Schizosaccharomyces pombe: one gene and its partners. Changing the gene in region 4 together with the main gene of any one other region gives a genetic interaction. Each region holds a gene or a part of one and is shown on either strand. Other genes may lie near its edges.

Region 1 (5,740 bases), on a different chromosome or scaffold from region 4:
TCTATCTTGCTCAATAAAAAAATATTCCCTCATCATTGATATTATTCGATTGCCCAATCTACTTTGCGTTTTTATATCCCTCCTATTTCGTTCTTCCCTATTCTTTAATTTCCTAATTCCGCTTTGTTTGCATTTTCAAGACCTCCCTATTTGAATTAATTTGGGTATTGTTTGGAAACTTTCATATAAAATAATACCTTAAAAAGAAGTTGCATTGGAGATGCGCGTTTTGGTTGCTGAGACCGGAAGAGAAGATAATGTGTCAGTACATTCTAGAGAAGTGTCTGTGAACGGCAGTGATTCTGGTACAGGCAATGATGCCTACAAACTAGAAACAGACGATGAACATCCGCCTGCCACCCCTGTACGTGGATTATCCACAAGATCTCAAAAAAGACCCTTCAGACCTTTAACAATTCAACAAGATGAAGATGTAGAAAACGACACTGGTATGAACACCGAATATAATGATGACAATTCTAGCTTAGTTAACACACCCCGAGACTCTACTACGTATGCCGAGACGAATTCACCAAACACGGAAAAATTGGCCGGAAGAGATGATGATCGATCTCTACTGAACTTGATTGATCGTGGTGAGATCGATAGTAAAAGACAGAGACATTACGTTCCCGTCCATTGTAAACGAATGCCCAAAAAGGAGATCACACTTAATCAAAAACTTTACGTTTCTCAAGTTATAGGTCCGGCTGATGCTCCAAAGTCAAAAACTATTTTTGGCAAGCGAATTATGCAATGGGAGCCTTCTCAATTTAAAGAATCTGTGTGGGCCTCCGAAATTAGCAAAAGTGGAAAATATCTGGCCACCGCTGGTAAAGATGCAATAATTCGTGTGTGGAAAGTAATTGAAACACCAGAAAGAAGAGAAACTTTACTCAAAGAAGGTCCTCAAAGTTGTGGTCGTTTCTTTACCCCTTCTAGCATTTTTGAACCTGAACCTGTCCTAGAATGTGTAGGTCACAACGCAGAAGTCCTTTCCATTTCATGGAGCAAAAATGATTTTTTATTAACTAGCTCTGCGGATAGAACCGTTAGGCTTTGGCATCCAAAATCAACCAAATCCTTGGCGGTTTTCAGGCACAATGAGATTGTTACATGTGTCGCATTTCACCCGATCGACGATCGTTATTTTGTTTCTGGTTCCCTTGATTGCAAAATTCAGTTATGGTCCATTTTACGCCATAAAATATTGCATTGGACGGAACTTGAATATGTCGTTTCTACTATTTGTTTTTATCCAGACGGTGAGTCGATCGTTGTGGGCATGTTCTACGGATTATGTGCAATATATGAAACTAAAAATTTACAATATGTGTCCTCATGGCTAATTCATCATTCTCCCTCAAGAAATAAAAAATGCCGAGTCACTGGATTACAGTGCGCATCTATCATTCCAAACGATTCAAAATCCGACAACGTTGTTTTAGTATCTACTAATGACAATGCTATCCGGTTATACAACACGGTCACTCACGCTTTAGTGTTGAAACTGAGTGATGCTCATCGTGTTAATGGCAGAGTACTTTCTCGTTTAAGTGAAGACAACAGTTATATCATTAGTGGAAGTGATACTAATGAAGTAGTTTTATGGCATATTCCCAACAAGGTACTCATCAATGCATCAAGAAAACGCTCTGTCATTCTCCATTTGCCCACGGAAACATTCAAGGTTTGTAGTGAGAGACTGACTTCGACCATCATTGCACCAGCAAGGACTGCTGTCGAAGCTAAAGAGTCGGAACATGATCGCAGTTTAATTGCAGAAGGATACAATCTAGTAAAACCTCATAGTCACAGATCATATGGAACACCTCCTGTACATCCGATTGATATAATAATTGCTACCAACATGGCAGGTATGACTATTGTCTTGTGTGTTGATTATGATTTGGGGAATTCCCATCATGGATTTAGAAACTCAAAATTTGGACACTTTGTGAAGCGTTTATTACGAACCTAATCTCGATTCAAAACTAATATTACTTTACCTTTTTTTATTTTGTTTAAGTCTTCTAAGTCATTCAGGTGTCATTTAAAATAGAGGACTCATTTTTTCCCCCTTTTAAATAATAGTTATGAAGTTTTTTTATGAAATTGTTTTTAATAATAGTATAATATAATATTCATTTTTTCGTGGTTTGTTAAGACACAAAAACAATTTTACGTCCAGAAAATTACTCCAGAATGTGCTGTAACTAATTGAGAGAAGCGTGGATTAAAGCGAACAATAGAAGGTGTTTCTGGTAAAAGGTTTTTAGATGTTGAAGAAGGAATGATAGCTAGCGGGTTCTCTGTTGAATGACTATTGCTGGTCGGAGTAGTTGATGCTAGGCCCATTTCGGTGAATGAATTAACAATGTGATCCGAGTTAACAGTTTGTTTCAGTTCTGGTAGTTGATACATGCAAAGATGCTCATTATCATATGAAGTAAAAAGAAATTTACTATCTGGAGACATGCAAGCTGAAGCATAATAAGTCAAATTTCCATCTTGGGTTTTTGTGCTAACCTTTGAAGGAACTCTTAATAATTCACTTCCACTATAAGCGTCTATAACGTAATGAAAATCATTTCCAGTTGTTAGCAATAGATATTTACCATCAGTACTGAATTCCACATTTGCAATGCGGACATGAGGGGGCAGGAATGTTAAAGGAATGTCTTGAAATGGGCGAGCATCAAATGATTTAATGTTATAAAGAGAAATTTTGTATTTTCTTTCACTAACTGAGGCAAAGATTAGTCCTGTAGCATCAAAAGCTGCAACAACGGGTGAACTAACATTGAGCAAACCCTACGTATTCCTAGTTAGTTTGATTATCAGTAATTGTTATACTCATACCTGGCAATTTGGAGACCGAAGGTCCCAAAGGCGAATAGTATTATCTAAAGAAGCGCTTAAAAAAGTTTCATCTGCTGGTGATACATCGATTGAAGTCACTGTTTGCTTATGGCCAGGAAAATATCGAAGATACCGATTTGTCACAACGTCTAAATAACGAACGGTATTGTCTTCCTTTGTGGAAGCATGTATTAATGAATTTGAATGATGAGTAAACCGACCTAAATGTGCTCCGTACTTTTTGCTTGCAAGTGATTTCACAAATCTAGAAGTTCATGGTCAGTTAGCCAAACAGGTTTCAAAAGTGAATTTAAGAAGTACTTACTTTCCAGAAATGCAGTTATACAGTTGTAAAGTATCATCAGTACACGACGCCAAGCACAACTCTCCACTGTCGTCAAAACTGAGAGAGGTAATTTCACCAACAAAATTCTGATTTTTCAGCCATTTTCTTGGTTGCATAGACGACAACAAGTCAAAAGTAATTGAAACTGTTGTCATTACTAAATAACGGTATGCTAAAAGGTGGGTTTCCTGAGAAAAATATATGGGTAAATAAGTTTTAAGTATGTATTTAGTGCGTATCTCCTATTAATATTCAGAATGGCTGATTACTGGAAAAGTATTCCAAAATATTATTGTAAATATTGCCAAATAGTAAGTTTTTTCTATAACATCCAAAAATTATTTCTAAAGTGGTGAAATTAATAGAATCCTACTAACAGTACAGTTCGTGAAAGATACACCATTTGCGCGACGGAGCCATGAGCAAACTTATAAACATCAGGATGCTATTAAAAAAGTAATGGATGATATTCATCGTTCCAACCTTTTAAGGCAGGAACTTGAGAAGAATTTATCTATACCAAAATCAGCTACTGCTACCACTGCTTCAGCGGTGTCATCTGAACTAGCATCGTATGAGAAACCAAAAAAGGAGCATCCAAAATTACGTCCCTCTAAAAAAAAAGCTACTTTGGATGATTGGGATATTCCTACAAGTTCTACGGAGACTGACACCATCTCTACTACTCATACCAGCTATATTCCTACATTGCTAGCAAAGCAAGAAGAAAATGAAGAAACCAAGGAAACAACTACTAATAAAAATGAGTCTCTACCAGGGACCTCTTTGAAAAGAAACAGAGAGATCATCGAAAAAGAAGAAAGATCTTCATTTCATTTTCGGGTAAAACCAAAAAACTTAGATAAAGTACCTAAGTTAGCTGAAAACGAGGGAAACAAATCGCTAGAAAGCAAGGAATCAAATGAAAACAAAGTGGTGTTTAAAAAGAAAAAGTCTGGAAAGTTAAGAACAAAATCTTCCTTAAAAGAATATGATCAATCTTGAAGAAAAAAACCATCTTTGTTTAAAAAAAATTCTAGGATGAAAAAATTTTGTATCCAATTCCTGCATTCTGTTCAACATAACGAGAGTAGCTTTTGTGTTGGGTAATCAGCATTAAGTAAGTATTCATATCGGTTATGAATGCTAAGTTGAACATTTATTCAATAACTATATTTGAGGTTTATTGAAAACATTTTTCCTTTTTTTATTTTGTTTTATTTAACATTTCTTTTCAAAGTCATTTTGGGACACTTATCTTCAAACTCCTCCAACAGACTTGAGCGTTTATAAAAAAGAATGTAGGAAGAGGAGAAATCTTCTCTCAAGTCAGTAATACCGCCCACTGTTCGAACAATTGAGTCATCAATATGGCACCATTCATTATTAAAAAGTACATCAGATATATAATGTCCATTTTCGAGCTGGCCATAATGACAGATAAATGCAAACAGGTTATAATTGCTAGGAATATAACCAATTCCCGATTGGAAACTCGGTGGTACCAGCATTTTACTTGGAATCTGTAAGCTCAATCCAAGTGGTGTATCAATTTTTTTACGACCCATTACGGATATTTTAAATCTCTGAATTTGTATGATCAAATATTCAGGTAGTTTCGAAATCATAATTACTTTTTTTGCCGACCTTTGAACCTTGCACACGGGACAATGCCATCCATCATGCCCTTGCAAGAGTTCAGGAGCTGAAAATTTTAATAAGCATTCTTGTAGGCTTACTACATGGGAGACATCGTCAATCGGTATCGCAAGCGATGTGAAGGGAGCAAAAGTAGTAGATGTGCGGCCACATGTCATACATTGAGTACGACTGCAAAGTTGACCTACAAAATTGTTGACCACAATACTCTTGTTAGACCGGAGATGCAAGTTCCATTCAATGTGTGAAAAGTGGGACAATGGGAGTTCTTCTCTGGCACTTAATTGATCTTCCGTCAACGGTGCTATCGGAGACCGAGATGCATTGGAGTTCAAATCTTCATGAAGTTTATCAAGAAAGAAATTTAAAAATTCTTGAGCATCGCATTGGCCATCGATGGAGAAATCTCTATTCAATGACTGTACAATTTCTAAAAAATTCCTTGGAGATATTGATCTCTGACCATGGTTTAATAAGACACTTTGAAGCAAGGAAAAGAAAGCAGATGTGATTTTTCCACCGGTACCCAATGGATTTTTGGTATTGATATTTTGAAGCAATCCTCTCCCCTGTAACATAGGAATAGTCAAGTCCTTACACGCAAAAAGACATTGCAGGACACAATTCATGTAACAAGTATTACCCAAATTCGTTAAACCTATAGGCTGATAATTTTCATACGATAAAGAACTATCAACTTTCTTAGGGTTCGCCAATTCCATGAAATGAGGATCCAACTTCAACGAACGTAACATCGAGTAAAGCTTGTAAGCCAAAGAAACGTCTTCGAAGTATCTTTCCAAACTGTAACAAATAACCATGCTTGGATGAAAAGGTGCGGATTTTAAAAAGTCATATATTTTTGAAGAATCC
Region 2 (8,044 bases), 1.2 Mb from region 4:
GGTAAATAACTAAACTAAAAAATTTAAAACGAAGTAAAAAATATCGGTAAGTACGAAAAATAGATAAAATTTAATAAAAAAAGGAAAAAAAAAAAAACAATTACATTTTCTCAAAAATCACTTGAAAACTAAAGACTCTTCTTGTTTTGTAATACTAGACTTATTCAATTTGACTAAGTAAAACACACTTGTATAATAAATAGTATATTTTATTTGTAATGATAACAAGGTCTCGTGGCCCAATGGTTAAGGCGCTTGACTACGGATCAAGAGATTCCAGGTTCGACTCCTGGCGGGATCGTTTTTTCAAAAGCTCAAATATCGTGAATACTGTAAAATACCTTTTAAGATCGTGCGTCTATGTATCCTATTGCAATCCAGTAAACTGCATATGCATAGAGGGATTGTGTTTTTAAAAGCAATTAACCTCGGTAATATTATGTATTTATTTTTTTTGGCGTAGACACGCCTTTGATAAAGAAGCGATATGAGTTAACAAAAATTGAAGATAAAATTTATTATTAATAGGTTCCTAAGATTGCGTCCGAGACCATTCACTCGAAACTTCACCGAGATGGTATTTCATTAAATAACGCAACCTAACGATATATCATAAATTAGATAAGGCATATTTGGAATTCGCAAAACGCAGCTTAAGTAGAAGCTCGCATCTCAAATATGTGCGTTGTAGGGAGCGCGAATTTTTACCTGCTCTTAGCCAACTTGAACATACAAGGACGGGAAAGAATTTAGGGGGAATATGAGGTTTGTAGAGCTAAATGCCTTCAAAGTATTTATTACTAACGGAAATTTAGGGTACATACTTGCTATTTCTGCTCGGGTCCTGTTTACCCAGGACATGGAATAATGTTTGTTAGAAATGACTCCAAGGTCTTTCGTTTCTGTCGCAGCAAGTGCCATAAGAACTTCAAAATGAAGCGCAATCCTCGTAAGGTATGTTTTTTTTATAATAAAGGAATGCAAAAACGTTATACAGACTTGGTTGAGGAAGATGATTGATTTTGAAAGAGGAAAAATTTTTTTCTGTTGCCTTGTTTTGAAATGATACTTTTCTTCTTCAAATTCTACCTTAAATGGTGTACTTTTTCCTTTATATGCCCATGAACGAAGAAAGTTTTCTATTGTTTTTTTAAATGTTTTGCTTCCACCTATATGTATGTATACTAACTTCAATGTCTAGGTTGCTTGGACCAAAGCGTACCGTAAGGCACATGGAAAGGAAATGGTTTATGACACAGCTCTCGCAGTTACCGCAGCTCGTAGAAATGTTCCTGTTCGTTACGACCGTAATGTCATTGCAACTACTTTGAATGCCATGAAACGGGTTAGCCAAGTTCATGCCAAGAGAGAGCGTCTGTTTTACAAAAAGAGATTGGCTGGCAAACGTGCCCAAGAGCTTCAAGAAGCTCAAAAACTCATTGCTCAAAATGTTCCTCAATTTACCGAACCCGAAGGTGAGGTTGAAACTGCTGAGGTACAAGAACCCCAAATTGTTTCCGACGAGGAGTATACCATGGAAGAAGAAGTTGCAGAACCTGTCAAGATTCCCGTCCTCGCCAAAAAACGCAAAAACAAGAAATCTCGAAACTCATCTTCAGCCATGCAAATGGACTAAACACTCTTCTTCCTACAAAAATGTAACTCTCGATCTTCCGTTGGTTGCGTCCCGCTTCGTTCTTTTATTTTATTTTATTTTATTGTTTTATTCCTTTCAAATTTACAAAATAGTAGAAGAGAAGACATTTTTGGGGAGTGGTTTTCTTACACTTTCGAACTCTTTAGACACTTCGAAAACGTGTTTTTTAAAATTTATCTTGCATATCTAAAGTTGGCATTTGGTTTCGGCTTCTCTTCTCGTTTGGTTACTTCTTTGGACTTGCATGCTACGTGCAGATTAATATGGTTAATAATGGATTTTCGTGTATACATACTTGTAAACGAACCTATCTTCAGTTTGGAGCTTGTACAAGATACAACAGTCTAACAGTTTGAAAAATGGTTGTTTAGGAATAAATTGGTTTATATTATTAGTTTCGTTTATCACAAATGCCTCTTCGAAATGTAAAATTCTACTAGAACGATAGAACATTGCTTCATTATTTGGATTCAATTCTCCATGAGGTATATTTAGTAAGTCATAAAACAGTAAAGACTTTGTCATTTATGCTGGTTTCCTTGCATATACATTTCTCTATAGTTGACAAGCCTATTCAAGTCTCATATCACTGTGGAACTCATGAAAACAGATCCCTCTCCTTGTAAAGCTGTTTAAACCCTACAGTCCAATGCTAAAGGTTGTTAATTCTTTAGAGTTGCGAGTCCGTTATTGACGTTTTCGATTGCTTGCGCACACTCACTAACACCATACATTAGCTAACTACTGACACATTGCACCTGCCGTTTATCTCAACTCATTGTCTTAGTAGATGATTTTTTTTTTTCAAAATGGTTTCTTAGCAAGACTCATTAAAAACTCCTTGACAGTTTTATTACCTTCTAAAATATGTAAAATGAGAAGTTTCATAGAGAAATGAACTATTCTTCAACATCTTCTTCTCTTTGTTTTTACCGAGGAGACGTTAGACTGCGGAAACGTGGTTTATGGGACGTGTGTTTACACTCGGTGGATGGAAATGTTGAAGAGCGGAATAATCGCGACGTCGTATCAACTACCAAAATCGCGTATGCAAATTGAAAACAGAGTATTTGTTCAACTTACATGGTTTTTCGAGTATTTATATACTAGATTCCTAGTTTTAGGAGAGTTCAGATAATCGAGATAGCCATTGGTATAGTTGGGGCTAAAATCTTTGCTTTCATAAGAAAGCAGTAATTTCCAAGGTTAAATTGCTCCTGTACAGAAATTAGCGTTTATGAAATACTTCTTTACTTTGTTATAAGTTGATCGTTTTCTCTTTGGTTAAGTTAGCATGTGGAAAATACGATGCGTTTGTCCATTCGAGGATGATGACGGATTCACCATCCAATGCGAAAGTTGCGAGGTATGGCAACACGCCGTTTGTGTAAACATAGATGCAAATAATGTTCCTGAAAAATATTTTTGTGAACAATGCCAACCTCGTCCTATCGATGCCGACAAGGCGCATAAAATTCAACTAGCTAGGTTACAGCGCGAAGAAGAGCAGTCTAGGATATTATCGCGATCCCGTTCTTCCAACAACAAGAGAAGAACTAGTTTTGGCAAAAATGGTGCTAGTCCTACACACTCTGCGTCACCGAGACAAGGCAATAACACAGGCGCTAATGGCGCTTTATTTTCACAGTCTACCAACTCTTCGAACTCGGGGTCTTATCGTAACAGTGTGACTGGTGCAACATTGCCCAATGCTCATGCTCCACATTCTCAGAATCGCAGACGAAGATCCAACCACCTTAACAACCCACCAGAGGCTCCAATCACCGAGGCTTCTAACGAATATGTGTATTCGTTTCACTTGGAATACGTCCCTTTGGAATCAAACACCTTTTCTGCATCTGCGCTTGAGTATTCTAAGAATTTGGATTTAAAGAATTTAGATGAATCCGAAGTTTTAATGGATGGATGCCAAGTCGTACCTATATCATCTTCAAAGTTTTGTTGTAGTCGCTTTGGTTTGGTGTCAACTTGCGAAATTCCTCCAAATACACCCATTATGGAGGTGAAAGGAAGGGTTTGTACGCAGAATGAATACAAAAGTGATCCCAAAAACCAGTACAATATTTTGGGGGCTCCTAAGCCACATGTCTTTTTTGACTCAAATTCTCAGCTTGTTGTTGACTCACGGGTTGCTGGTTCAAAAGCGAGGTTTGCGCGTAAAGGTTGTCAGTCAAACTCCGTCGTTTCAAGTGTTTACATGAATGGGTCTAACAGTGTTCCTCGATTTATCCTCTATTCAACTACTCACATAGCTCCGGAAACAGAGATTATTGGGGATTGGACTCTCGATATTTCCCATCCATTTCGCCAGTTTGCGCCTGGTATGTCGCGACCCTCCTTCAATATGGAAGAGTTGGAATTACTTTCAGAAGTGCTTTCTACCTTCCTGTCGTTTAACGAATGTGCCTCACAGGATAAGAAAAACTGTGTTTTTTCCAGAGTTACTAAATATATTAAAGCGGCCCGCCGCGCTTCTACTGCAAACCGTGTCAGTGTAGCAAAAGACCGTTTGTCTCTGACACCTTCCTCAACCCCTTCTACCCCTAGCCCTGCTGAATCATTACCGCAACCTTCAAACCCCACATCGGTCTATGCCAAATCCTTGAAAGAGTTTTGGTTAGATAAGTACCGTCTTAGTATTTTGCAAAAATGGCCTGCTGTTAAGTCATTACCCACAGAAAGTGTAGGAATCGATGTAGTCATGGAGCCGAAGTTACAGCCATCTGTGAAGGAGAAAAAACCAACTAAAGATTTACAATCTCCACTACCCTCTGTTGAGGAAGATTCCTCTAATAGGGACAAGAAAACTGATATTGCTGATTTACACACTGATTCTAAGGTGGGCATTGCAGACGTCTTATCGCCCATTTCACCCGATGCTGCATTACAATCCGATGGTCCATTGAAAAAAGCAAAGGAACCTGAAGAATCCTCGATAACCCCTACAACTCCTCCATCTTTTAATGTTGGAGAATCACTAAGTAGGCGATCAGCCTCACCATTACAACATCCTCGAACAAGCCCAGATATGCTGGACAAAACTTCTCCTTGCAAAAGAGGATTAGGAACTATTACGACAGTCCACAAAAAGCATGGTTCTGTTGATCATTTGCCGTCAGTTAAAAGACGCCGTAGCATTGCAAATGATTTTCATGGCAAACCTGATTATAATAAAAGATCGCTATCTATCGAAAGGAAGCCGGAAGCCTTTAAGACTAAAGGTGACAGACCACATAAGGTCCATCCTTCTTTCCATAGAAATTCAGATTCAAAATTGAAACTCGAGCCGTCGAGTAAAGAAAAGAGTGGGTCCATGTTTTTTAATACGTTAAGGACTGTAAAAGATAAATCGCATGTTCACGACACTCAAAGGTCTTCTGACGTTAACTTTTCTAGACAGAATGGCACTCGATCCCATTCACCTTCGGTTAGTCCTGTCGGGTTTTCGTTTGATAAATCTCCTGTAACTACGCCTCCTTTGCCGACAGCTCCAGCACCAGTTATAACGAGTCGCCATGCTTTGGTAAACAACCAATTTCCTACGAACAATCCAAACATTTTGGACCACAAAGCCAACAACGGTGATGATATCTCGAATGCGTTAAATACTTCAAGAAGCGAAAACAAGCCCAATTCGAATCTGGTCCAAGGAAGTGTAGTCAAGCCTAGTAACACTTCAGCCTCTGCTCTTCCTACCTCAGCACCGAAGAAGCTATCTCTTTCTGAGTATCGACAACGACGTCAACAAAACATTCTGCATCAACAGTCGAAGGATAATCAAGCACATGGCGATACAGCTAGGCCTCACACCGTTCCTGCTGCTACAGTTTCTAACCCTTCATTTACGCGATAAAAATTCTAGAAGATGTTGTAAATCTTGAAACCATATAAATGTGTGGATGATTTTTTTTATTGGATATGGTATACGAACAAGTTTTCACGATTCTAAAGTTGGTACGATGACTGCATCTTTTTACCTTCATATGTATTTTCATTTCATTTTTTTATTATGATGATTGGTACTCGGAGCATATTTTACTGTCACCTGCTTCTGCATTCTTTTCTTCTTCGTTTGTAAATATTTAATGACTAAGTGTTTGGGCGAAAACTCTAGTTCCTTTTTTTTTTTTTAGTTTCTTTTGATTCAGAGCAACGAACCCTCAGTCGTTGCATTTTTCTGTTCCTAATTTGCACGTTTAGAACATTGTACAATATAATAATATTAATTTATAGCAGTTAAATGATTTATGTTTGTCATATAGAAGTTTCGGTTCGTAAGATTATAAGAACTAACTATTTAAGATGTCAGCTATTTCCGTATGCGACATGTACTAGATTAAATAACTTTTTGGATACGCAAATGAAGCTAGTACATTTTGAGTATTAAGTATCATAAATATAAACATCGATTCAAATATGCTACGTGCAGATTTCAGCGAATTGTCGCATCAAATTAAACTATTCATCGACGATCCACTCAGATCTTGTATATATCAAACGGCCTACGTTAATATAGCTTGTCTACTTATAGCGACTCTGAAAGTGCGCCGTTAGATTATTGTGGTATAGAACCGGGAGGTTAGGTACCATTCCTCTCTCTCCATGAACCTACTTTTTTAAGCGAAACGCAAACAAAAGTAAACAATTACCAATGAACATTTCACGTTCATCAGGTCTGATGAGACAGTTCCTGCTTCAGCCCTTACGGAAAGGCTGCGACATTTCTTGCCTTGGAAGGTCAAGTTGGAGAATGAGCAGGAGCTTCTCTGGATCGAGTGTTTTAAATGAAATTAATTTGTCACGGACTAAGAATTTATTTTTGAATGATTGTAAGTTTAATAAAAATTCATTTGAAAAGTTTTTTGCTCGCCGGCTGAGTAACTCAGTCGCTCCTACACCAGGTGGCATCCTACAGGAAACCGAAAAAATTCCGAGTAAAAAGGTCGCCTTTTGGCTGCTTGGATCTTCTGCTCTTGTTCTTGCAATTGTTGTTGTAGGTGGCATTACTAGACTAACTGAATCCGGGTTAAGTATTACTGAATGGAAGCCCATCACTGGCGTAATTCCTCCTCTTACTGATGAACAATGGAACCAAGAATTTGAGCTTTACAAAAAATCACCAGAGTTTGAGAAGCTGAACAGCCATATGACAGTGGATGAGTTTAAAAACATATTTTTCTGGGAGTGGTTTCATCGTGTCCTCGGTAGAGGAATCGGCTTGACAATCCTTCTTCCTTCCATATACATGATTGTGACTAAAAGGGCATCTCCTTGGCTAAGCAAGCGACTAATCGGCCTTACGGGACTCGTTGGACTTCAAGGAGTCATCGGTTGGTGGATGGTCAAGAGTGGTCTTTCAGAAGAGCTCTTCAGTGATGGTTCTCATCCGCGTGTTAGTCATTATCGCTTGGCTACTCATTTAGCCGCTGCCGTTGCTCTCTATATTGGCTTGGTGTGGACTGGGCATGGAATCCTTCAACGACATGCCTTTTTGAAATCTATGAAGAGTGGCTCCACATCTCAATTGACTTCAATGGTTTCTTCAGTTCAGAAAATGAAAGGATTTCGTACTAGTGTTAACTCATTTGTTGGCTTGGTACTGATCACCCTTTTGTCCGGTGCCTTTGTTGCTGGATTGGATGCCGGAATGATTTATTGTACTTTCCCGGAAATGGGCGAAGGAAGACTTGCTCCATCTAAAAGCGAGTTATTTGATCAAAGGTTTTGTAGGAAAGACGACAAGTCCGATCTTATATGGAGAAACATGATTGACAACCCAAGTCTTGTTCAACTCGAACACCGTATCTTAGCTATTACTACTTTTGTTGCTGCATGTGGTCTTTTTATTTTTTCCCGTGCTAAAAGAAACATTTTGCCTAAGAAGATTAAAACTAGCATTAACGTTGTTACAGGCGTTGTAACTGCTCAAGCTACTTTGGGTATTATGACTCTAATCTATGTTGTCCCTGTACCTTTGGCAGCCCTTCATCAAGCCGGTAGTCTTGTTACATTAACCGCGGCCTTATCACTTGCTCAGCGCTTGCATCCAGAATACGCTTTAAAAAACATCCGCTCATGGACAAAATTAATCTCTTCTCCTCCCAAAAGTAGCATTTCATCTTCCATTTTGACTCAACAACGCCAATTCCATACATTCCGCCCATCATTCCATTCCGAAATTAAAAAGCCTTTGCCGGGCACTGGAATCAAAGTTTTTTTCGTCACGCCTGAAGGACGTGAAATCATGATTGAGGGAAATGAAGGTGATAGTATTTTAGATCTCGCTCATGCTAACAATATCGATTTAGAAGGCGCTTGTGAAGGGTCTGTTGCATGTTCGACTTGCCATGTTATCGTAGATCCAGA
Region 3 (10,211 bases), on a different chromosome or scaffold from region 4:
TCTCGCATCATTCAGAGTCAGAAAATGAAGATGAGGATTCAGAAGCTTTTCGCCGTCGTCAAGAACTTCGCCGCGAGCGAAGACGCCAAGCTGAAAAGGATCTTCGTCTCAGTCGAATGGGTGCTGAAAAACGTGCTAAGCTTGCTGAAAAAGATCGACCTCGTGATGTCGCTGAAAGGGTTGCTTTAGGACTTTCAAAACCATCAATGTCAAGCGATACAATGATCGATAGTAGATTATTTAATCAGGCTTCTGGCTTAGGATCCGGATTTCAAGACGAAGACAGTTACAATGTGTATGATAAACCGTGGCGGGCGGCACCTTCATCAACGTTATATAGACCGGGTGCTACTTTGTCCCGTCAAGTTGATGCATCTGCAGAATTGGAACGTATTACTAGTGAAAGTCGTTATGATGTACTAGGAAATGCGCATAAAAAGTTCAAAGGATCGGATGAAGTCGTAGAGGTATGTTTCAATATCTTATACTTTTACTTAAATACTAACTTTTCTTAGTCTCGTGCTGGCCCCGTCACTTTCGAGAAAGATATTGCTGATCCTTTTGGTGTAGATACTTTTTTGAATAATGTTTCTTCAAAGAAAACTTAATTCTATTCGATCCTTGACACTGTCAAAGAAAATGTACATTATTGTATGGTTTTATTCATTGGAATATGACTGTCTTAAAAATAAAAAAAAGTACAATTTACGTTTTGTGTTTTTTTTGGATCAAGGCAGTTAATTCAACAGAAGTTCATATTTAGTCTTAAAAATTAATGTTTATTCTTCTAATGATTAAAGAGCTAGTAAATTTGAGCATCGTTTTTATTTGTATTCTTGTTTCAACTCTGGTAAACCAGGATTATGAAAGTATTTTGGTACAAGATGTGAAAAAGAATTAAAAGTCTTCTATGTAGATAATTTAATTTGTATATTTAAAAATTTTTGATGAGGCATATTTATTTATTTATCTGTGCTTTTTATCACTGGACATTCGGTTGTTTGTTTATATTTCGCTGATAAACGCTGTTTGAAACAAACCTGAACCTACTAAAGAGCAAAATACAGATAGTTCGAGAAATAAATTTTTACGATGTCTTTGACTGAAAACCTTCAATTATTATTAAATTTGGATAGTCTACCATCCAAAAGGTATGTTATCGTTACAATCTAGTCATAAATTCATAAATCATTCATTAACAAATATACCACAGAGAAAATTTAATAAAAAGAAAAGAATGTGGTTTAACAATCATGCTTTGCGGAGCCTCAGGTACTGGAAAAACAACGTTCTTCAATACTCTTTTTGCTACTTCTTTGCAACCAGAAAAATCATATGAAACGGCTAAGGAGACCATAGCCAAAAAGACCTTAGAAGTTAAAAAGAATAAGGCCGTAATTGAAGAAGATGGTTTTCATATCAATCTTACGGTGCTCGACACCCCAGGGTTCGGTGATTTCATTGACAATACCAGTTGCTGGAATACGGTTGCAGAATATTTAGACGAACAACACGAAAGGTATCTAATTCATGATCAAAACTCTCTCCGTGTACCAAGGAAAGACACTAGAGTCCACGTTTGTCTCTACTTTATTACGCCAGTTTCGTTTGGAATGCTTCCTTTAGATGTGTTAGCTATGAAGGAGCTATCGACCCATGTAAACCTTGTGCCAGTAATAGCAAAGGCAGATACATTTACAACTCCCGAATTAACACAAATAAAGCAAAAAATTAGAAGGATCCTGGAAGCTCAATCAATCGACGTTTTCCATCCATCAACAGAGTATTCTGATTACGAAACTGCCGAATTACTAGATTCATCCTTACCTTACGCTATCATTTCCAGTGTAAATGAAGTTTGCAAAGACGATGGGGAAAAATCGCAAGGGCGTCGTTACCCATGGGGAACCTCTGAAATATATGAAGAAACACATTGTGATTTTTTAAAATTGAAGAAATTGCTAATTAATAGGCATATGCTCGAGCTTATAAATACAACTGAAACCAACATCTATGAACGATATCGTAGAGAGCAGCTTACGAATCGAAAGAGTGGCATTCCTAAGCTGAAAAAAGAGCATTACGAACGCTTGAACAATGAGAAACGTGCGATTCAACAAAAGATAACACAAATGACTAATGAAACTGAAAGCTTCTTTCAGGCCAAAGAAGAGAAAATGATTGAAACTCGAGATGCTTTGAATTCGGAACTTTCTGAATATCACGAAAGGATCCGTGCTTTGGAGACCCAAATTGAAAGTTTGAAAAGTTACAAGGGCCGCGGTCATAAAAAATGAAATACTGTATATTTCAAGTCTCAAGTCAAACTTTTAACTTTTCCATCTCCTTTTATTTGCTCATCTGATGGCTTTTTCTTACTAAATTTGCAATTACAAGAATACAAAAGTAAGTTAGACTTATCCTCTAACAATTTGAGAAGTCTTTGTTTCATAATATACTTTGCATTGGCAACTTTACGGGATTTGCCGTAAGCAACAATATTCCCGTGGCGGAAGAATGAAAACCCATAATACTTTGTTAAATGGAGTTCAGTATTTAACAATGTTTTGTGACTGGATTTCACCTCCTCGATGACACACTTTGTTCCGAAGTCTTCACATCCCTGATCTTTCAGTAATTGGTATACCTTGTGTTCAATATCTCCTTTAGCCTTAGTATGTGTCGCATCCCCTAACGAATTAAGAAAAAGAGGTAAAACGAATTGTAGAGATTGTAAACTAAACCCAGAATCCAAAAAAATGGCACATATCATAGCTTCTAAAGTATCTGAAATGAACTTTGGTGAATCAATTTCAAACCAGAACCACGGATTCTCTGAAGCAGTCTCCCTGAACGCTTCAATTAATTCTTGATATTCAAATATTGCATCACACATTGCTGCGCTTTCATGTTGGATATATTTGTGCAAATTCAAAACAAAGCCAATGTATGATAGACTCTTGTTACACACATAAAAAGATTTGTAATCAGTTAATTCGCCAGAAGTTGCGTTAGGATACTTTTTATAAAGGTATTGTACGATAATGTAATCCAATACAGCATCACCCAAAAACTCCAACTGTTGATAGTTTTCGTAAATACCTTGCTGAGACATCATGGAAGGATGAATAAATGCCAAATGGAGTAGTTTCTTGTTTTTAAATGAATATCCAATAGTTTCCTCTATATACGAGGAGTAAGGGAATTGAACATTTCTCAGTGAATCCGCATATGTATTTAAATCAAAATAATTGTTCCACTCATCCCAATTGCTGATATCCAGCAGACCAACGCTTAAAGATTTACAGATCTTGAGTGCTGAGTCAAGTCCACTGTCTAAAAGACATGCACCGATACTAGCTTCGACCATATCTGCTATCCTCTTAACCGATAATTTCTGTAAAACGGCGTAGCGGCACTTATCCGATGTGCTTTTCTGAAAACCATATGGACACCAATGACGGATTTCCAAGGGAGTCGAGAGAGCATACTTCGGCAACTCACAATCTATTGCTACTTTATACAAATTACAGTTGCTAATAATTTTCTTTCGATTAAAATGCAGTTGGTACTCTTGAGTATCAGGAAATTTCAAAAAAACTGTAATAGAAGCACCCAATTTTAGAAAGCAGTCTCCGTAAAACTCTAGACGATCGTAATCAAAATTCAATTGTGATTCCGCAGATGTTAAAGCCTGACAAGCAGTGTCAATTTTACAATCAAGTCGAAAGTGTTCGATAAAAGAAGAGGCGACCAATAAGTTTTCAATATGGTACAGTATGGAGGGTATTAGCAAGGCGCTGTTTTTCAAATGTCTAGAGACTGGGAGAATATAGAGGTCATTGATATAAAAACTGCGCACTTGCTGTGATTTGGGAATGGATTTAGCTCTATTGCCCCAAAGTGAATAATTTAATCGTAAAGGAAGTTTCTTACATAAGGCAGAAGGGGCCTTATCTTTCTTTTTAGCAGGAATCATAAATTCAGAATTGACAAATCCCTCAAAAGCATACTGTTCATATATTGACTGTGGATTTACTAATAATACAGTATCGGATTGCAAATCAGTAACATTTTGAACAGGTTCCGGTAATTTAAAAAAATTTTGGATAGTGTCAACATCTATCAGATTTTCTAAGAACCGGTAATCCGTGCATGACAAATTTAAAGGCGCAAGCCAGTAAGGAGTAGGTATTTGTTGCTCAAGAGAAGTAGATAAACCGAATTGAAGTAGATAACGAGTTGATTTTTTTAACAACTCAAGCAGATGAGAATCGATCTTAAAACTATCCTCAATCGTTTCTAAAACAATTTTAACTCGGGGGCCAACAGTCGAATTAAGAATAAAGCTATCAATTTTGGGGAATGAATGAGCTTGTACAAACACTAAGGGATGGAATATATGATTGTCTCCTTCATTAGCATCAGTATAAAGTAAAGAGACGAAGCAACGTGTAATATCTTCAGGAACTTTCATCCAACTTTTTGGTACATAGCGCTCATATGTCTCGATATAACCTTCATCTTTTAGCTCGTCTTCCTCAAGAGTTTCAAGGTCGGCAATTTTTCTTCTAAAATCTAGGGGTTTTAAATGTTTGTCTATAAGACCCATACGAATCAGATCCAAACACATGATGAACGCAGCATTCTGTTTGGCTTTCCTAATTGATTTAGCGGGAGATCCTTGAGCCGCTGGAACTTTGCAGGCTTTTGGCAATTCTACCTCAAAACAATACCAACCTGAAAGACAGGGTTGAGCTGTAAAAGTGGGATAATATCTTGTGTATACGTCTCTTGAAAGTGTGTTACAAAAGTTATAAAGCAGACTAACTGCATACAACCCTGTGAGTAAAGCACCAGTCTCGCCAACTTCATAGACGATATCATCAGTCACACGTTCTCTTTCCTCACATACCAATGAATCAAAAATATTCGAATTGCTGAGCTCTGAAAGGGCAAATTTAAGATTTTTTTCTTCGTGTAGAATGCGTTCATGAATTAACAACTCTTCTGTGTTTAAAAAAATTAGAAACTTTGAAGCCATTGCTCTCGCTCTACCTCGAGATTGGACATACTGGGTGACAGTCCGACAAATATTGAAGCGTATAACTAAGTTACATGATGGTACATCGATACCTTCTTCTGCAACTGCAGTAGCAATTAAAACATTATATTTTCCAGTCTTAAACTTATGAAGGGTATCTTTTTGCCTCCTGAATGTCATAGAAAATTCACCCTGATCGGACGGTCCATGTCCTATAAAAGAATGAGCGCGGATGTTAGGCAGATTAAGAGTTTTCATAAACAAACTTAAAGTAAACGCCGTAGCTTTTCTTTCAACGAAAATAACCGTACGAACGCTATCACTTTTGCGGTAAGTAGCCTTTAACAATTCTAAGAGTTTAAAGACTTTATCAGTAACATCAGTGGAATCAAAAACAGGGATTCTAGGGCCATTGTCTGAATATTTGTTATTTTTCCAATCTTCAACAAATATTTTTAACCGGTCAATTGCCAGTTCCTCGTCATCTGACAACTGCTTCCCTAAAGCCTTTTTTTTTAATCTTTTCGTTTCCACAAAATCAACCAAATATAACCAAACTTGCTCCCCAAACCAAAGACCCATATCTATGGTTTCTGCTAAAGCAGTCTTAACAGCCCGAGAAATTAACTTGCATCCTTGAAGAGTTTCCTCGCATTTCTTGATAATAGAATCCGAGGGTGGCACAACCAACTTATTGGAATACATTACATAGCTTTCTTCGGGAAGACAGAAGTAATCGGCTAGCTCGTTTTCCGAAACCACGTGTGCTTTAGAATCAAATAATTGCTCCCATTGATACAGTCGATGGTATAAGTTTCCTTTTTTTCCAGTGAATGGTGAAGCAGTCATACCAAAAATTCTTGGTAGGGTGAAATGTTTTTTTGACAATACTGCTTTGGCTCTGTGATAAAAATCATTCATGATGCGAGCATACGCATCATTTCCAATTGCATGATGACATTCGTCGAATATAATTAAATTCAAATCATTTATTGAAAGAAAACCTCTTGCAAGAAACAAATAGAACAAATCTGCAGTAATAACAATCACATTATACTTCAATATAATATTAGTCAACAACTGCTCGCTCATTTCTATAGATAATTCGCCATAAAACATGCCAACCTTAGCCGGTAGTTGAGATCGAATGTATTCCGCTTGTTGAAATACCAAAGGGACTTTGTTGACGAGAAAAACTGATATTTTTTTATGTTCAAGATTTGATTCTTGGATTAAAATTTGCTCCTCGAGCTTTTGTTTTATCAACTTCACAGCAAGTAATGTCTTACCAGCGCCCGTTCTCATAACAAGTAAAGTATTTTGCTTGCTCGCGATATTATACACATCTTGTTGATATTTACGTAAAAGTTGAGGAAGTAGAAAACTTGAAATATCCATTCAAAAAGAAAATAAAGGCGGAAGGTTTCATTCAATTGACGAGAAATTTGTCTCTTAAAAAATAATGAATCCTAAGCTATTCAAATAAACATGCATATGTTCATCTTTACCAGAAGAAAAAGAACAATCACACGAGCAGAATACTTCCTATAATTGTTTGTGAGATTGATAAAAACAGACGCAATACTATTGATAGCTTCTAAATTCGTTGTTAAGGGGAATCATTACACTTATAGATTCTGGTGTTTTAAGAGAAAAGTAGGTGGTAGTTTTTTACAACATAAGTTACGCACTTTAATAAAAAATGATTAAACGCCTATGCTTTATTTTAAAATGTTTAAAAAAAAAAAAAAAAAAAAAAGGAAAATTGCATATACATATTATTATTAAATCAATATTATTGAATGAAGAAAGGACTGTACGACTTGCTTGTAAATCCGTGAAATTCAGTTACGTTGAATTACTGGTTTCCAATGCTTTATGCTAGAATGATTCGGTTTTTTAAGAATTATTTACATAATATTTTAATAATAAATACATACATATATATCTGTTTACGCGTTCACTGCCTGCTCTTATCGGAACATAGGAAAACTTATTAAAAAAATATTAGAAAACATTAAACATACAATACTTTTTTATTATAAAGTGGTAAAAGCGAAATTATCAATAATAGAAAAACTGCTTTCGTAGAAAACCAATACAACATTTACAATGAATTAGTTTTTTAAATAAAATAGAAGTTGAGAAGTTGCTAATTAGTATCCACTTAATGATGAAAACAATATTATTTGAAGTCTCTAAAATGAAAAGTATTCAAATTTTTAAAAAATTTTAAAACATTCTCGCTCGTTTACACAGACTGCAGTCTTTCAATAAACATAAGCGAATGCACAATTTTGCCAGATGCCTTGCCCATGTCCATCAGTATAGGTATTAGGATGACAAGATCGATTTAGTACACAAACAAGAGAACGAATGAATTTCAGAGCTTGTAGCACAAGACCATTAACAAGAATCATATTCAATATGAGAGCAGCACAACTATCAAGTTCAGAGTATAAGTGATAAGTCTATATGAAGTTATTTTAATAAAACGAAAAATAGTATGAAAAAAAAATTCGAAGACACGAAATTAAAAACAACAGGACAAAAAAAAGGAAAAAAAGAATACAAAACCAGAGAGTTTAATATAGAAAAGCTCTGAAAAAAAGATGGATGCACGTTCACTCTTTGTTTAAGCCCAAAATGCATCGAATTATTTATGCTTGAATATTTTTGTTAAAAGATGCTTATGAAATAAAAGTAGTCTCATTAAAAAGCGTGGCTTCATCTTCAATAACCTCGTCACCCATCTTCAGTGTAAATTTGACAGGTGAGAAATATTGGTAGATGAAAGGTTTCGTTCCAGAGACTCCATGGACGAAACCCTTAAGCCAAGATGGTATCTCGGCAAGAACGTCGATGCGTTGAAGACGTCTTCCCAAAGGAGCATCGACTGAAAGATGAATATCTTCGGTGTATGTTTCAGCATCCTTTCCGTCCCATTCGTAGGAAATGCGAGTGGGTTCATGCCATTCCGTATCGGGATCGAGTGTGGTCTCAACGTGCTCAATAGTATTATCGACAGTTGCACTAATAATTTTGTCTTTCATAGCGATACCACCAATATTGACAATAGTAGAACCATAGCTAGGGGGTGTCTTGAACTGCATCATGATGGCGGTAAACTTTTTATGCTGCAAGAGGGCAAACTCCCAAGATGAAGCAAGATGGTGGGGTTTGCCATTTTGGAGTGCATGAACAAACATGCCGGGACCAGTGACATCCACAACTCTACCCCTTGCAACGATGCTACCTTCAACACGAGTGCGAGGCCAAAAGGTATGCTTCATGGAAGCCCAGGGCTTACTAGGATCTGTTCCATAAGTAGAATTTCCATCTTCACCGATTTTAAAAGGAGGAGCGTCTTGATGGACAGTTATATCGATGATGGAGTCCATGTTGATGGAGGCACGAATTCGGTAACGCTTTTGGTCTTCCAACACGACAGAGCAATTTTTGGCGACAAAGGAGGTTTTGTCATTTTCAAAGCTAAATTGATCCATGTTGGTAGAAGTCCACAAATCGTTTTCAGGATGCTTCAAATCGAAAATGCGACACGTAGATTGAGCGGTGGTTGTCCAAGAACCCAAGTTGGAATGTATCAATTGAACAAAGCACATATAGTCACCCTCATTTGGCTTGATATAAAAGACTTGCGTTTCCACATGGCTGGAAGAGGGAGTGCTCCATTTGAAGTCGTCGGCTTCAAGCCTATGGAAAGGATTAATGCCCTGAACGGATGCAGTGACGGGTTGGATAGCCTCAGGACCATAAACGGGTTCCGCTGTGCCAGTATAGTAGGATATGCTAAAATCGAGTTAGAAATAATAAAAAACAGTAAAAACAAGTTATTAGAATAGACAACTGAATGTTTTGTAAGACAACACGAAAAAAATGGATTCAAATAGCAGATGTCTGATAGATGAAAAAAACGGAAAAGAAAAAAGAATTTTGTTTTTTGCTCATCGAATTTAAAAAAAAATTTTTAAGACAAAAAAAATAATCGAAAACATGAAGGAAATGTCAGTGAATACATATCGATATCCAATTATTAGTCGATTATATTACCGTTTTTATTCATAGGACAAACACTCGATCCGTTTTTAGGGGTCCATATTTTTACAACCTCTAATCAAGCCAAAGAGTACCAAAAATTGAACATACACATTGTAAATCACTGTATAAATCCATTCTTTTGCGTTTGAATTACAAATCCTCGCTGAAACGAAGAAAAAAGCACTCGGCAGCGATCGAATCCAAATGTCCAGTTGTACTTACCTAGATTGTAGCCAGGCCTTCATGATTAATTAAAATGAAAAATGAGAAAATGAAAAAGCTAGGAACACACAAAGCAAAAGATAGGCGACCAGCAAACGGAGAGAGGACACGTTAATGGCCTAAAAAATAGGACAAAGAAAATGTTGGTAAAGGATAACTAAGATGAGCTGGGAAAACAAAAGCACTTAGTGCAATTCGTTACGGAACCGAAGCAGCCAAAAAAATGGAATGATGATTGTTTAGTGATTGACGTAATGCAAAACGCTATAATACTTTTATGAGATACAACGTATAAGAAGGTGGTTTTAGCATTGTCTTGGGTTCCTCATCATTCCGTATGCTCCCGTTGTCGTAGTGGAACATAATTTCTGTTAAACATTATTACGCATAGAAAAATTAAATACCTTATTAAATAATTGTGTACTATTTCATAGGTTTTGTTGTATGAGAATAAAGCTTTCGGTGGTTGAAGATCGATAATGATCTAATAACGAAAATTTTTAAAGTGTAGAACATACATGTTAAAGCATATAGCGGAATACTTTATTTTATTTACAGAGCGGACAAATGTTAATTTCGGAAAACTGCCTAGATAGTAGCAGGCCGACGCTAGACATATACCGGGGAACTATGGAAAATCACAATTAAACATTGTTCCACCTTACGTATACAGAAGAAAGTTCGAAGAATTTATGTAAGTTTCACTTTGTTTAAGTAATGATTTGTAAAAAACATCAAGCTTTCCGTTTTCCAACGACGTTTGGTATCGGCGTGTGACATAGCGAGAGTGTAAACAGAGATGGATAAACGAGTAATTATCTGCGCAGAAAAGCACGATTCTCTTGTTTATTAGTGCTGAAGAGACCCACATTCTGTGGATCTACAC
Region 4 (8,136 bases):
GGTCTTCTGTAGTCAAGGGTAGTACTGTTTATGTTGCTACGAAAAAAGAAAGACACATCAAAATTTCTGCGGATACCTTTTTACCTTTGAAAAATAAGCCTCTAATCACTACTAAATTTACCGTACTCAAAAACAGAAATGCTGTTCAACTTGAATGGTCGGTTCCTGTTGCTCACATTTTTGAAGAAGATGGCCAAATATCAAGTGCAACTTTTGAGGCGGAAATTTCAAAGTACTTGTCTCAAATTGAAAACTGATTGAGCTCAATTTTTTTAATCAATTCTCAATTTGAGTTGTTGCCAAAAAGCGAAATACTCAATTACTACATTTTCGTTAGAAGGCTTCCATGCCTGCCACAACGTCCGTATCGTATTCTTATTTTTTAACATGAATTTTATTGCTACGTTTTCCATTTACCAGCGGCAATTGCCTAATCATGCTATGGATTTTTTTTTCTTGAAATCTATCCTACCATAAACCACTCTCTAACAGGAGTGAAAAAATTGGAGATTAATCGGTTCAATGTTTTCGATTCTGGGAAACTCGTCTAAAAAGAAAAGAAATACTCAAATTTACAGAATTTTTTTTACTTTAACATTCTCTTTGTCGAATCTATTTCTTGCAATATGTTACCTTTTTTTGAATGTGAGGACTGTAAGCTCAGATTCATCTGTTTCACTTTACGATAGACAGTTGTTCGATCAGTCATCTTCTGTAATTTTAAATCCTGATACTTCAGACCCAAGCATTGTGTTGTCGTCTTTAGAAACAATGCGTGATTTGGCTCATGATATAAAATTTGGTCAGGATGTACTTGAACAGCCTCTGTGCGATCAACTTTTTGTTTTGATGGATGGGAAAGACTATCCAAATACGATTCGTTCAATGTCGTCTGTTGTTTTGGCATCAGCGCTTAGCAATAATTTCATAGCTCAGAAAAAGGCTTTAGAAATGAATATTATGCCAAAAATTGTGAACACTTTACGGCAGGAAAACCACCCAGTTACATTACTGAAGAAACTTTTCCTATTAAGTAAATCTGTCCAATCTTTTCCTTTATCTGAGGCTTTCATTAGTAAAGATTTAGGATCGGCTATTCTTCTTCAGTTGTATGATTTTTGGTCGAGAAACAGCCATATTGATATTCCTTCTGCTTTTCAGGAGAAACTGCTAAGTAGGTTGTCCATCATCTTTGAAAATATTGCTCGTTCGTTGGAAAATGTCAATTTTAGCAAAGCTTCTAAAGTTATCCCAATAGAGTGGGTATTTTCGACTTGGTGTAGCATCTTTCAAAAGTACTTGATGAATAATTGGCATTTACGCTCAATTTCAACGCTCGAGGTTCTACTTAACACCGTATCAACAATTCAAAGTGTTAGTGAGAGTTGTCCCGAAGTTAACTTTTATGAATGGTTAAACGATAAAAATTTGGCGTACAAAAATAAATTAATTTATCAAGATCCAGATCTTGCTACTGAATTTAATTTAATTATAAAAGAAGCTTTATCTCTTCCTTGGCCTAAAAAATACAATATTTAACGTTTTTATTTTTCAAAAATGACTTATCAAAATCTCTCTTTATATATACCACTTATGACGAGTTCGACTTGCTTCAGTCCTTACAACCCTATATTATTCATTAGCATTTTGTAGTTAACAGTTATTCTTTTCACTAAAAATGAATGGTTCTTACCTTTTAGGATCATCCAAGCATGGTATGAGTCCACGAATTACTTTATCTCTAAATAGTTGTAAATTCGTGGTAGGAGTAAACTCTGGCAGACTTCCAAGACACTTAAGGGCTAAAAGACGAACAACAGTTGGATTATTCATATCCTTAGGGATTGCCAAAAGCGAAGGAATTAAAGTATCAAGATATTCCGTCAATAATGAAGTCAATTCTTTAACCGAAGTATGTATAACGTTCAACGTCGAAAGTTTAACACTAATATCAGACAGTGAAAGACATTGAAGTAGAAGTGGAAGGATAGATGGCATATCTGGAATTACAATTTCTTTTGGCACATTTCCTATCACATTAGAAAGAAGCATTAAATACAAAGACTTTTCTCCTCCAGTAGCAGTTGAAATGTGTTCTAAAATCTTAGGACTAACACTAGCGTAAAAACGTTGTTTGTATAACAGCTTTTCGACATATGAATTCTCCTTGGACAACGCAGGATCGTCTTTGATAATTATTGAAAGTGCCTTGACCGAAGAATCTCCGACATTTTGTAAATTCAAAGTATCCAATAATTTAAAAGCCAAAGGAATGCCCTCGCTATGCTTTCTAGAGACCAAAGCTTTGTCAACCCACGCCAGCACATCGAGTGCAGCTTCAGATTCCTTTGGAGTTCCAGTATAAACTTTATCCCACAAAGACGTGACTCCCTTCGAAGATATAAAACTTGATATATCTTCGTCTTTTTCACATTTGTTAATAAGCGAGGATATGAGACGTAAAGCGCTAATTTTAACGCCAGGACTTTCCGTAACAAAAACAACATTTATGAGTAAATTCAACAACTCAATATTCAACTTTTCGATAAAATGTAATTTTTTACTCAATCCATTAAGACCACCCTGTAATAATACCACTAAATTTAAAAATTTCTGATCACTTAAAGATGCTGCAAGCGTAAATCTTTCTGCAGCTTTTTCACAACCTTCAGTTTCAATTAAGTCGGAATTGGAATTCTCCATATATAATTTCCATAATTGACCAACAAACTTTTCTTGAAATTCAAAATGGTTTACTCTCACTATCTCATTTATTGTCTGTGATACATAAATAAGGCATCTCACATTCATTGACTCGCAATTAGCGAAACAAAGGGTAAAAAGTTGCTTCAGTAGTTCTTCAAAAAAGAATGGAATCTCTTGTTCATTTCGATCATTTCTTTCCTTAAAGGCAACGGATAAACTTTGAACAATTGATTCGACAAGATCAACACTCATTTCCTTGGATTTAAATTGATCTTTCAACATCTCAACAAGTCTGATGACAAGGGCCTTAAACAAACTCCTTTCTTCAGATATTGAGACTAGTACCGATAAATATTGCTTAAAAGTTTCTTCAGAAGATGACTTAGCAGTAACATCATCAGTTAATTTTGAAAATGCGAAAGGAAATGAAGTCAAAAGTAAAAAGTCGGGCTTTAGTAACCCTAAATCCTTCAAACATTCTGTTGCCTTTTTCTTAATAGGATCGGAAAAGTCAAATGCTATGTCATCCAAAAATTGAAGTACCATGGTTAATTCACTCTCTGTTAGGAAGTTCTTGATCGAAGCCATTAAAAAAATAACCTTTAAAGCCAACATGCGTATTTCAGTTTCATCTTTGGCTGTTCCCATCAAGGAGCCTGATACAAAACTAAGTTGCTTGTCTTTGTAAACAAGTAGCGGGTTGTCAATATCAGCCTGGTTTTTGCTTCTCCACTTTCCGTATAAAAGTACCAAACATTTATAGACGTATTCCAAAAAAACTAGCATCCCTTTTTGTTTCTCCAATGGTTCATTTACCATTGGTAGATCGAGAACACTGGGTAAAAAATTGCATGAACAATAATTGAATGTTTCCACAGAGATAGAAGCCAAGGAAGCAAATACAGCTGCACAAGATCCGCAAGATTTAACATTAACATCTTCGAGTAAACGCTGTGATAATTGGATCAAAATCATATCCACAAACTCTGTGAACGAAGATGAAAACCCTTCCTCTTTATAAAATTTACTAGCTAAAGTATTGAGTGCACCAAGCGCCAAATTTTGAAGTTCAGCATCTGTCGAATTTAGTATTTCTTGCTTAATAGATTCCCAAAAGTCTTTAGCAGACCATAAATAAGCACCCACGCGCCAAGTTTTGCAAGCTTCTATATAAATGTTTAATGCATCGATTTTTATGCGAACAGTTGAAGCCTTCAGCCTTTCAAATAAAGCAGGAAGAAGTAATTTTGAAAACGCGTCGTTAGCAACCAAGGTTTCTCTACAAAGGACGGTTAGCAATAGTTCACATGTCATGATGCCTTACCGGAGAGCTATTTTAAGATCGTCGCTAGTAATAGCCAAATTGGTGGCATCAGGCGGAGCACGGAAAGTGATCGGGAAATAACAATAAGTGATATCAAAGAATTGCTACATGTAAGTAATTTCATTAGGCGATTAACAATGAGATCCATACCTGTTCAAATCCGTCAATGGGGAATGTAGAAAGTATTTTTTTAAGCATAGAAAAGACCAGCATAAGATTACGAGGGTCTTTCTCACCAGCAAAAGTTGAACAAATTCCAGAGAAGAAAGCATCGCGAGTTTGTGAAGAGATGACTGAGAACTAAGTTAATTGATGACTCTCCAAAAAGATCCTTACAGAAAAGATAATTATCTATAATGGTTTCAAATACTTTTAAAATGTTTAAACGAGTTGCTTGAGCATATTTTGGCATGTCAGTGGAACTGAAGAGAGCCTTACAAACATCCACAATCTTTTGAGCAGGGAAGTTTTGCATGTTTAGAAGAGCTCCAATACCTAACGCATTCTCCTTCATTGTAACTTCATCATCCAAACGACTCAAGTAAAACTGAAGAAGTACAGATACATGTTTCGCAGGAAGTCTATCTTTAGGAAGCTCACCTAAAGTTTGTGACAGTAATAAAACTGCTTTTGCTCTAACAGAGATATTGTTGTCAGTTAAATACTCTCCAATTGAAGTAACCAAATCGACAATCCCCATTCTGTCAGTGACAATTTCTTCGACAATTCGATCTACAACGTCGTTTGCCTCATCCTGACTTCTATCAATAGAAAATAAATATAAAGCCACTAAATTCGAGCTCATCTTCCTCAAATTTAATATGTACTATTATGCTAACAATTTTCTATACAATAAACACTATAAGAAAAAACAGAATTTCAAAAATTGAGAAGCAGAGATTAGAAACCTTGTCCTCTTTTTCGAAGCTGACTTTCTTCTAGCTAGTAGGTAGACGGCACTCTTCCTCAGTAGATCGTTGAAACGTCTCTCAGAAAATGTGGTTAACAATGGCAAATTGCAAAATGTCATTTGCTATGTATGCTTTCTTTACCGAAGCGAAGTTAAACTAATTAAAGTATTTAGATAATCTGATAAGAATTTGTGTAAATTAAATTGCTTAAATCCATGAATTAAAGAAATTAGAAGAAAGATCGGATATTATTTTCTTTTTTTAAAAATTTGTTTCTTTTTAGCAAATCTCTACTTCAAGATTTTACAATCATACACAAAAACCTTTATTCCATCGTTATATATAGTCACTACATATTAACGATCCTTAAACCACTGCGCTATGTATTCCCTCTCTTACCAAAATTTGAACCGACAGCAAAGTAAAAAGAGGATGCAAAGTTTTAACATTTACTTGAGAAATTGATCAATAAGCATATAAGTATTTAATATAATTATCATCTTAAATTCTCTGTTAGTCCTGGTATGGAAGTTTCGGAGACAGACGAACATCTTACTCGTTTAAACCAGGCTCGAGATATTGTTAAAACTGATCAAAGCCTTTTTCCAGAAATCGTGAGAAACATTCTTTCTGTGGCAAACTATTCTGATATAAGGTATAAAAAATGGATGGCAAATTTCCTCTGGTTTGGATTTTCGAGCAAAAATGTTAAATTTGAGCAGAAATTGGATTTAGCTGTAACTTGTCTAGATACAATTGTTTCTCTGTACGCAGTAGATAATGAAGAAGTTAAAAAAGACGTTATATCTTGTTCTTGCACAATCTACCCACTAGTATTTCTGCACTGTTGTACTTCACCTAACGATTCATCTACCTGGGACACTTTAACGAAGCTAAAAAACGAAATCATTAATGACTTTGACAAAGGGAACAAGCCTCTTTTAATTTCTTGTATTAAATTTATTTCTTGTGTAATTTTAACGCAAGTGCCTGGGATTCGAGATCCCCGTCTTGTAACTAAATCGGACGTGTCTCTTTCTAAGGTTCCCACACATCATCCTTTTATCAATTCAAATATCCTCAGAATAGAAGCAAATGACTTAATTGAAAAAATATTTTCCATCCTTTTCTCGGATTCTTTGAATGTCCTTTACATTACTAGCGTTTTGAATATCTTACCGGTTTTGGTGAAGCGACGGAAGGAACTAGCACCAAAAATCATAGGAAGCTTGTTAGAATTTCATCTTCCGAATCCAAAAGATGAAATTGAGCTGTCGAACGAAAGCAAGTTAGCTATACGGTGTATTGAAAAAAATCTAAAACTTATTTTACTTCATTTAGCTAAGAGTACAGGTGCATCTTCTTCTTCCGTCGAAAAAATTCACGCTTATCTTTCCGGACAAATTTATCATACCAAAGTCGATGAAAGTTTGAAGAAACGGCAATATGAGGGAAATATTAGTGCTGCCTCTAAGCGTGTTAAGTCTTCTGCTGTACAAAGTCTTGTAGAAAGAATGCAACCCCAACTTAGCTCTCACGATGGTTTGCAAAATAATCCCTTAATCAGCATATTTGCTTCACAAACTGCTATAAATCCTCTTGCAAATTTTGATGTAACTTCAATTCCGGTTGAAGTGGCTACTGAAATTGTACTTACTTCTCTTCTTAAGATAGACAAAAACTACTTTCATCAGCAAATTAATATGTTGAGAGAGAGAGTGCGCTCTCTCTCTGAGCCTGAATCCCTTGGTCTTGATCAACAAGTTGATGAAGACGAGGACGAGGATTATGAACCGCCTGAGGTAGATGTTCAGACTATCAATGCTAGTGTAGAACGTGAAGCAGCTCGACTAGAGGGAAGTGCTCCCTCCAATGTCGTTACTGATGCGTTTGAATTACCCACTCCAGATTCGCTGTCCCCGATGGCTATTCTAGAATACTTTCACGGTGCCTTATCCAGATTATTTGATTATGCTCCTCAATTTGAAAGAAGCATAGTTTCTTCTTCTAACCTTCAAAATTTAACGTTGGAAAATGTGGATAATACGGTATGGGATAAGCGTCACTGGGCAATTCTCTTACCACGACTTTGTACGCGAGGCTTATTGAATTATCAGCCTGTAACGTCTGGTGAGGAATCTGGAGATGCTTCTTTCACTTTGTCTTCATTTGTTCGAGGGCAGCTTTTTACTTACGTTGCATCTAACTGGCGTTCCAGTACAAATTTAATATTGAACTGGTTATCCGAGGAATGGTATAATGATCGACTAATGCTTGAAAATCCGGATTGTCATGAATATGAGGATGTTAAGTGGGAAGGTCCACAATATGAAAAATGGGCCCTTAAAGTAATAGACAGCATTTTACCATACTTAGAGGCAAAAGATAAAGTTTTTATGATATTTATGTCTGAATTGCCAGAACTCACCGATGCTATAGTTGACAAAATTAAATTTGTATGTCTTGATCCCGATAAGACGAAGCTCGGTTTCATGACTTTTCAGTATTTAATAATGTTTCGACTAACCTGTACGTGAAAAATGCCTTGATATTCTTGAGACGATGTGGAAAGAGAATGTAGATGTTAAAGCTTCCGCCGCAAAGCTTTTGAATCGTTGGCGACCGTCGTTTTTGGAGTCTGTGAAATCAGAGGAAACGAAAGAGCCTTCCGCTACAGATAACACTTCCTAGAAAGCTTGTTTTTCCTGGGTCGCAGTGGGATTTCATTGGAAAGCCAAGGAGAAATAAAAGCTAAATGTTTAATGCACCATCTTTTGATAAAATAAAGTTCTGTTCATACCTAGACAGAAAAAATGTATCTGTGGCTAATCACCACTCTGTTTATTGGAGTTTTTTGGTATATATGCAAAATCTGTTCATATACTTCATTTAATCCTGCATTGGAAATGAGAGTAATCTTTCAATATTTCTTAACATACTTTACATTCATATTTATCTAGCCAGCATTTAGCCCTCTGCTATTTATGTAATGCTGTTACTTATAGCAAACGTTTATAAAAACTAAGTCTGTATAAAGCATAAATGAGCCCTTAATTTTTGGCGCACTAAAATTTAACTATTTATTATACAAATCTCAATTTTCATCGATGATAGAATGGCATATTTTATTATTAAAATAAACCATGGTCTTCTAAGAGTGGGATGTAAACTAAAGAGAAAGACTTGTTAAAAGTA

Evidence for each region.
Region 1: mutations in mms19 (region 4) and swd2 together harm fitness more than expected from each alone (negative genetic interaction), as found in Schizosaccharomyces pombe (2 studies listed by BioGRID).
Region 2: mutations in mms19 (region 4) and set3 together harm fitness more than expected from each alone (negative genetic interaction), as found in Schizosaccharomyces pombe (2 studies listed by BioGRID).
Region 3: of mms19 (region 4) and dcr1, changing one suppresses a phenotype caused by changing the other (phenotypic suppression), as found in Schizosaccharomyces pombe (2 studies listed by BioGRID, with this or other methods).

Annotation. Positions count from the first base shown.
Region 1 is NC_003423.3:1,779,794-1,785,533, forward strand, and holds swd2 (Set1C complex subunit Swd2.1), read right to left. Parts: upstream 3,427-5,740; 5' UTR 3,364-3,426; coding exon 3,188-3,363; intron 3,128-3,187; coding exon 2,863-3,127; intron 2,815-2,862; coding exon 2,182-2,814; 3' UTR 2,152-2,181; downstream 1-2,151. Other genes in the region: SPOM_SPBC18H10.05 (WD repeat-containing protein), read left to right, coding at 221-1,981; wbp4 (WW domain-binding protein 4), read left to right, coding at 3,466-3,519, 3,593-4,213; ubiquitin hydrolase Ubp4, read right to left, coding at 4,426-5,740. UniProt on the Schizosaccharomyces pombe protein: The Set1 complex specifically methylates 'Lys-4' of histone H3.
Region 2 is NC_003424.3:5,037,389-5,045,432, reverse strand, and holds set3 (putative histone H3 lysine methyltransferase Set3), read left to right. Parts: upstream 1-2,688; 5' UTR 2,689-2,951; coding exon 2,952-5,531; 3' UTR 5,532-5,887; downstream 5,888-8,044. Other genes in the region: ribosome biogenesis protein rlp24, read left to right, coding at 761-765, 816-954, 1,202-1,636; etp1 (monooxygenase-ferredoxin fusion protein), read left to right, coding at 6,330-7,941, 7,987-8,044. UniProt on the Schizosaccharomyces pombe protein: Transcriptional regulator that acts via the formation of large multiprotein complexes that modify and/or remodel the chromatin. Required for both gene activation and repression.
Region 3 is NC_003421.2:1,503,849-1,514,059, forward strand, and holds dcr1 (dicer), read right to left. Parts: upstream 6,710-10,211; 5' UTR 6,443-6,709; coding exon 2,318-6,442; 3' UTR 2,298-2,317; coding exon of another isoform or gene 1,214-2,297; 3' UTR 1,152-1,213; downstream 1-1,151. Other genes in the region: Prp19 complex subunit Prp45, read left to right, coding at 1-467, 516-608; septin Spn6, read left to right, coding at 1,093-1,151, 1,214-2,297; ER to Golgi ceramide transport protein, lipocalin superfamily Svf1, read right to left, coding at 7,735-8,854, 9,326-9,348. UniProt on the Schizosaccharomyces pombe protein: Required for G1 arrest and mating in response to nitrogen starvation. Ago1 regulation of cytokinesis and cell cycle checkpoints occurs downstream of dcr1. Required, indirectly, for regulated hyperphosphorylation of cdc2.
Region 4 is NC_003424.3:3,855,122-3,863,257, reverse strand, and holds mms19 (TFIIH regulator Mms19 ), read right to left. Parts: upstream 5,041-8,136; 5' UTR 4,836-5,040; coding exon 4,367-4,835; exon of another isoform or gene 4,324-4,366; coding exon 4,181-4,323; exon of another isoform or gene 4,135-4,180; coding exon 4,031-4,134; exon of another isoform or gene 3,986-4,030; coding exon 1,694-3,985; exon of another isoform or gene 1,628-1,693; coding exon 1,579-1,627; 3' UTR 1,540-1,578; downstream 1-1,539. Other genes in the region: signal peptidase subunit Spc2, read left to right, coding at 1-257; protein Sil1, read left to right, coding at 523-1,539. UniProt on the Schizosaccharomyces pombe protein: Key component of the cytosolic iron-sulfur protein assembly (CIA) machinery that mediates the incorporation of iron-sulfur cluster into apoproteins specifically involved in DNA metabolism and genomic integrity.